2 linked regions of the Tribolium castaneum genome follow. The protein of the gene in region 2 interacts with the protein of the main gene of each other region in a biochemical or structural test. Links are inferred from orthologs where the notes say so. Each region holds a gene or a part of one and is shown on either strand. Other genes may lie near its edges.

The links. The genes of interacting proteins can lie anywhere in the genome.
Region 1: the proteins of protein SHQ1 homolog (region 2) and Nop60B are reported together in a solved structure, tested with the Homo sapiens proteins (2 studies listed by BioGRID, with this or other methods). The link is inferred for Tribolium castaneum from reciprocal best matches to the Homo sapiens genes SHQ1 and DKC1.

What each region holds. Positions count from the first base shown.
Region 1 is NC_087394.1:7,767,156-7,771,340, reverse strand, and holds the start of Nop60B (H/ACA ribonucleoprotein complex subunit 4), read right to left. Parts: upstream 2,813-4,185; 5' UTR 2,709-2,812; coding exon 2,696-2,708; intron 2,540-2,695; coding exon 2,391-2,539; intron 2,344-2,390; coding exon 2,127-2,343; intron 2,073-2,126; coding exon 1,818-2,072; intron 1-1,817. Other genes in the region: P32 (complement component 1 Q subcomponent-binding protein, mitochondrial), read left to right, coding at 3,828-4,029, 4,075-4,185.
Region 2 is NC_087397.1:6,232,155-6,235,255, forward strand, and holds protein SHQ1 homolog, read left to right. Parts: upstream 1-1,229; 5' UTR 1,230-1,295; coding exon 1,296-2,558; 3' UTR 2,559-2,586; downstream 2,587-3,101. Other genes in the region: uncharacterized protein LOC657396, read right to left, coding at 1-67, 211-303, 360-671, 720-969, 1,158-1,199, 2,587-2,846, 2,902-3,013. UniProt on the Homo sapiens protein: Required for the quantitative accumulation of H/ACA ribonucleoproteins (RNPs), including telomerase, probably through the stabilization of DKC1, from the time of its synthesis until its association with NOP10, NHP2, and NAF1 at the nascent H/ACA RNA.

The sequences.
Region 1 (4,185 bases), on a different chromosome or scaffold from region 2:
CGTTTTTGAGTTAAAACTTTCTGTTTTTTATTGTAAAATCTTGTCAAACTGTGTCAAAAATTCACTAAAATAGACGTGTTCTTCATTTCTGTGACAAGTTTGAGACCCAATGTCACAAGTATTTTACGAAATTATAAAGATAAGTTAAAAAGTACAAATTTCGAGCGAAATTCAGACAATGTTTGAGCTAAACACGTAACTGTTTCTCTAAATTTTGCCAAATGGCGTTATTTTTGTCTTTTTGAGACTTTTTTTGGGCGATCGTCAACTTCACCTTCACAAGTTTTATTAACTTTGTCAGGCAACTAAATTGGACCAAACAAAAAATGATAAATTTGCCTTTTTCGAACACGTTTCAGAGATAGACATAATTTATTTCATGAAACTGTCTCAAAAAAAGTCGAAAAATCACAAAATTCAATAAAAAATTACACCATTTTGTCGTTTTCTAAAGGTTTAGCACGTATTATTTGGGGTTTACGAAATTTTTCACCTTCTTTGAGTACGTTTCAGATACAGAAACTATTATTTCACAAAAATTTTCCCTAAAATACTAATTATAAAATTTTTCGGGCCTTTACGCCCATTTTTTAGTTAAAAACTTCTATTTTCTTTCGAAATTTTGTCACACTGTTTATGAATAAGACCAAAAATGACGTTTATTGCCCTTTTCAGGCGCGTTGGGACCCAGAAACGCAATTATTTTATGAAATTTTGCCTAAAATAAGCCAAAAAGTCACTAAACTCACTCAGAAATGTCTTTTTTCGAAAGTTTTAGCTAGTTAAATTAGTCCGAAAATGATTTTTTTACTTTTTCACGGACGTTTTAGATAAGAAATAGTTATTTTTCGAAATTCTGCACGATATAAGTCAAATAATGACTAAATTCTGTTAAAAATAACATTATGCTTTTTACTAGCAAATTTAATATTTTTCGAAATTTTGTCAAAAATAAACTGAAAAGTCACTGTTACGCCTTAAAAATGGGGTTTTCTGTACAATTTCCCAGTTTTCTTGACACCTTTTTTGAATTAAAAATTTACAATTACAAAATAAGAGCAAAATTTTTTAAACCCAAAAAACACAAAATTTTGCAAAAAATAAACCGAAAAATTACTAAATTCGGTTGCAATTAGTGATATTATTTCGCCTTTTTCAAAAGTTTCATAATTAATTTCTCAAAAATTCATCAAAAATAAACCGAAGTCACAGGTATTACAAGTAGATCCCAAATGGTGTTATTATGACCTTTTTGAGATTAAAAATTCATTAGTTTCTTTTATGAACCTGTACCAAAAATCATTAAGTTGGACTAAATATTATGTTTTTCACCTTCATAATAATAATTATTTCTCAAAATTTCGACAAAAATTAATCGGCCACCAGAGCCGCAAATCTTAGGATTATTTTTGCATTCTTTGAGAGAACTGAAATTACGTTTTTTGTCTTTTCGAGCACATTTCAGGCGCAGAAATGCAAATTTCCACAAAAATTTGCCAAGATTAAGCCTAACATCACTAGTTTCAGACACCTTACAAAGTTATTTCTCGAAATATCGTCAAAAATAAATCAAATACTTACCGATATATTGATATATATATTTTTTTTCAAGCATTTTAGCACGTTCTGTAGTTAAGAAGTTATTTTTTTTTGCAAAATTTTGTCAAGCTGTGCCAAAAAAATCAATATTTTTTACTTTTTCGAGCAAATATTTCACGAAATGATGAAAAACGAAAAATCGAAAGGGTCATTATTTTGCATTTTAGAGCGTCGTGTTTCTCCAAAATTTTAGTCCTTTGTATTGGTAAAAATCTTACCCATATTTCGGCTTTCATCATATTGGAATAATTTGCTATCATAGACCGTGCGAACCCTCAACTGTCTCTTAACGGCCGAAATTAATGGGGGTCTTTGAAACAAGGCCCCTCGGAGCTTCTCCAACCCTTGGAGCACTTTTGGGGTCCCTCCCTGTACAGTTGAATGCAATTTAAACACAGCCACGTACTCTTTCCCTGCAGCTTGCTGGGATTTAACCAGTCTGGTAGCGCGTTCAATGCACACAATTAAACAACCTTAAATCAATTATTAAATATACATGATTTCAATTAAATTAAATAGTTTAATACCTGTAACTTTCGGATCTAAAGTACCCGAATGACCTGTTTTTTCCACTTTCAAAATCCTTTTAATCCAAGCTACAACTTCGTGACTGCTTGGATTACTGGGCTTGTCCAGGTTAATGTAACCTGACTTAACATAATCGGAAATTTCCCTTCGTAAAGGGGAAGAACCAAACGGCAAAGGTACGTAATGGTTCGTTCTCACATTCAAACGGTCAAAATACTGCAAATCACGCTTTGATGTAACGAAAAACCGAATTTAAAACCCACCTTTAACAACAAGGGCCACTTGGAACTGTCCAACTTTGCAATCACTGAGGAGGGCTCCACTGCAAATTCGGAGCCTTTTTGAAGGTTCCCCAAGTCTTTGTCGCCCTTGCTTTTCTTCTTTTTCTTCTCCCTAACGGGCGTATCCGCCTCTGCACAAAATTGCGTTCTAAATAACGATAAGACAAAGCGGCCGGTTTTTTGAAAAAAATCATTATTTTTGAAACTCTAAATACATTTCTACCACTAATTATTTATCAAAGAACGAAATAAAGCCTCGTTAAAGATAATAATAAACAATAACTTACCAAACTCAGACATCGCTTAGAAAATAACCAACACGTGCATCCGACACAGAAAGTAGGGTTAGTTTTTTGACAACTAACAACAATTTTGACAGATTTTAAGTGGCGCTACTGAAAAAAATTTAAATGAAATAAATGGCGGGAAATGTTTTTTCGGTTATTTAGAGTCTTAAACGATTTTTCTTTTATTTTTTTTATTTTATTTTGGTAAACATTGGCGTTTTTATGCGCTGTAATCGGTGTTTAAAAATTTAAAAAATGTAAAAATTGCAATCTTTTTTTTTGTGTTTTTTTTCGGAAACACTGAGACTTAGAACTAAAATCAAAAAAGCATCAGATAGCGCCTAAAATTATCTATTTTCTTGCCAAAACCCGGAGCCGCTTCGGTCAACGGTTCCAGGTACAGAGGCATATAAAGTTTTACATTAAAAAAATATTTATCAAAAACCAAAAGTCTATTGTCCATTTTTTATTTCATTTAAAATTTTGAAATTTTTTGCTCAAAATTTTAATAATCAAGGCACTTACCTTCACAAAAATTAAGAAAAAAAATTTAAACTCACTCTAGCAAAGTTTTACGAACTTTTTGGCAAATAACTCAGAATGTGTTAGTTAATTACAAAACTTAAAAAAAAATGCCAATAGTTTTAGAAGAAATATAACATATGACGCAACTGTAAGTACCCTTCTATAGCTGTTTTTTTTGCAAAATTATATACGGTAACCCGTTTGCAAAATGTAATTTCAATTTTTAGAAGTTGATTACTCTACATTTTTCCAATTCAATCCAGGATTTTTTTTAAATATTAAAAATCGTTCTATCGAAGAGTTTTCTAAATTTTTCATTAATTTTAATTTTAGACCACAAAATTTTAATTACTATAAGAAAACTGGCCAATTATTGTCCGGTTTAACATTTTATCTGGACACCGGACAATCATCTGGGTGAAAACCGGACAGGTGTGGCAACCCTATGAGGAATTTGGTGACGATTTAGTGATTATCGTTTGTGGGTTGGTGCCATTCTGGGGATTTTCGTAGCGTTGGGTTGCGCGTCGCTTTTTTCTGACAGTTTTTTTGATAGCACGTGTTGTGGCCGGTTTTTTCACGCATTTCGCCTAAACTAAGTATAAAAATGAATAATTTGCTTCGAGTTGCGTCCAGACTCAGCTTCAAGACGCTCCTGAGTCCGGTTAAAAAAGTGTCCAACACTTTCCAGCAGCGGCAACTTGCGCGCAATCTTTGGTACATGTGCAATCGCAATGAGTCCGAAAACAAACTGAGCAAGTTGTGCACTTGTGGGTGCATGAGCAGGCACCAGCATGCACACAGTAAAGGTACGTAAGTGAGCCCAATAAGTTGGAGGAATAACAAACTTGTAGCCGAACGTGAACTGGTTGAGTTTCTCACTGAGGAGATTGTCCTGGAGAGGAAGGCCCAGAAGTCGGTGACGCTTCCAGCCGAGCTTGAGGGTTTTAAAGTGGGGTTGAACG
Region 2 (3,101 bases):
GTCATCGCGGACGATCAGACGGCCTGAAGCTATGGTGGATAAGTGGATGCGAGGGCAACCCTCCTGCCTAAAATGCAAACATTCGAAACCACAAAACAACAAGGAAAAAGTGAGTCGTGTAGAACTAATTACGAAGTGAGGAATTACTCAACTAACTGTGATTTAATAAATACTGTGACTACAAAACGGTGCGGTTCTACAACCACCCACCTAAGAATTTTTCTCTTAATCGTTCTAGTTCGACTCGAGAGTGTTTTTCTCGGCGTAATCACCGGTTTTCTCCGAATTTCCGGCTTTTTATAACTAATTCACACAATTAAATTCACGTAATTGATAAGTTCAGTTAACACAATACAAACCTTTTAATGTTTTTGTCCTGTGGCACAGGATGGGCCACTTCGATCAAGTCCCTTTCACCGATAGTCATGTACAGTTTGTCGGTTTCCACACTCGGGGGGTTAAAATCGGTCTCGATTTGCGAACTGAGAATATTTAAACCATCCTTGAGATATTTGGCCCACGGTGAAACCGTCCCATTATCACCCGAATCGGACGACTTTAACTGTGAGGAAATGTCTTGCAAAATGAAGTTATTGGGGCGGTAGTGTTTGACCTCAAAATCGTAACCCTTATCGCTGACTTTGGCCGTCTCGCAATAAACGTACACGTCCCTAAAGTTATCAATTAATGCCAGTCATTTTTCGCATCAAATGACTCACTTATTATCGACGGGATGCGAAATCACGACGTCTCCTAACCGGACATGCTTGTTATAGTCGGTGTAATGGGGGACTCCCCCACCCACACCGACCAAAAACACATAATCTACCTTCTGGAACGTCCCCAAAAGTCTCGTGGTTGTGTTACCAGCAGCGGTCATTGCTTCCCGAGTATGGCCCACTGAGGGCAATTTCGTGCACACAATACGGTGGGCCCCAATGTTCCCCAAAGTGTAAACATTGGATTCCCCTGGAAAATCACACAGTTACAAGTGCGCCAAGACAATGGCAAACACCCCGTGATAATTACAGTGTTAGTGAACAGTGGAAAGCATTTTGCATACAAATGCAACATTCACAAGTGATTTTCGTGATCTATGTACAAACACAAAATGGTGACATCACAAGTGATTCCCCCAGAACTTGCAATTATCTTACCGAAGCGGGCCCTCGGTTTGTCACCCGTGGGGCTACTGGGACCTGTTCAATAAAATTGCTGTTTAAAATTGGCGCTGTTACATGTCAACTGTCAAACACACCTAACCTCACAAACCAAACTTAGTGTGTGTTTTCACGATGATAACGCCGCGATTTAAGCTAACACAAACCGAATCAACCGTCACAATACAAATCCGAGCCCCGTACTGTAATTTAGGCGAGTTGGAGGTGACCGTCGACGACGACATCTTCATTTTCTACACCAGCCCCTATTACCTGCGCTTACACCTGCCCGGGCGCCTCGTCGAGGACAATTTCAGCGAGAGTTCGTTCGATTCGGACTCGGGACAGTTCAGTTTCACGATAAAGAAGGCAATCGACGGGGAACATTTCCCCGATTTGGACCTGATAACGAAACTATTGACCCCCAAAGTCGAAGTCACCGAAGACAACCGCAAAATTACTATCGTGGCCAATGAGGGAATCAAATCCCCGGACGAGCTGAACGAAGAGTTTGGGTTCGCACTCTGCGGCAAGGAAAACTTCAACCATGTCTCGGCCGAATTCAAGGACGTGTTTGAGGTCGACCCTCGCGAAGTCAATTTGGGGCAAAGGCACAAAATGCGGGTGCAGTTCGAGCAAGGCAAGTTCAATATCGATCACTACTTGAGCGACTACATCGAAAACGAGGAAATTTTGGAACTGATCGCGCTGGAAGCGCCTTGGGACAAGTTAAAGTCGGATGATGTTCAGTTCAGCGACCAGGAACTGGACTTCCTTAAGGATTTACCGAACAAAACGTACAACTTGAGCGAGACACAAGTCAATTATTGCCACTGTTGTCTCGTTGATATTTTATACGCGTATTGTTACGACCGACGGACGACCCAATTTGAGGGCACCTCTGAGTCGGGTTGGACCATTGTCAAGTTAGCCGCGACGTTTTGCTGGCTTGATGTTTTCCAAACGCCTAAGGATGCCCTAGTTAGTGCATTCCGGCGGAGTGTCATTTACCCGCTTTACCGGAATTTCGAACTTAACCGAACCGTTTTAACCGATTTGAGGAAACTACTCGATTTGGGCGAAAAATATATAATCAAGTGTTTGATTGAAATGTACCACATTTTTTTGACTGGCGATTGTTGCCGTTACATTCTTAACAATTTGTTCATTAAGGATTATATCATTTACATCATGAAGTGGGACAGGACGAAGTGGAGAGAAGTCGTTGAAGAAATTAAACAAGTGACGATCGAGAAGAGTGACCTTGGATTGAATCTCCAAGAAATCGAAGACGACGTTTGTCGTAATTTGGACTTGAACAATTTGCAAATCAGAGATGATGATTCGGACGACTTTAGTGATACTTCGAGTGACGATAGTTCAACCGAATCTGATTAATTCTATTGTCAATAAATTAGTGACTCACCTACTGTTGTATATCTCACGAAAGTCTCCTTGTTTTCAATCATCGCATCCACGGCCAATTTCTCACAGTACTGGGCTGTGATTATGGCGATTGTCGGTTGTTTGGAGCTGACCATCGTCGGCATTTGTTTCACGATAATTACTTGAGTATCGTGGGACTGTTGGCGGGTAAAAGCGCCATGTTCCATGGCTTTGACAATGTTGCTTGATTGTAAATCGGCAATGTGATGGGCCACTTCCTCCTCATCCCAACCATTTTCCCTATTTTTGTTTTGTTGATTTGTTTTTAATTGTAAAAATCAAGCCAATGACTTACTTTGCAATGTCTTGGATTGTGATAGGGTTCGGATAAGACGATTCAATTATTTCTAAGACTTTTTCGCGCGTCAGTAACACTACATTTCCCAATGAGTTTTCGTCGGCTGATACTGAAAAAATACAAATGAAAACAACGAAAATAATTTATAGTTTCCATAATTTATACGTCCTTGATATAATAATTAAATGAATGGTGCT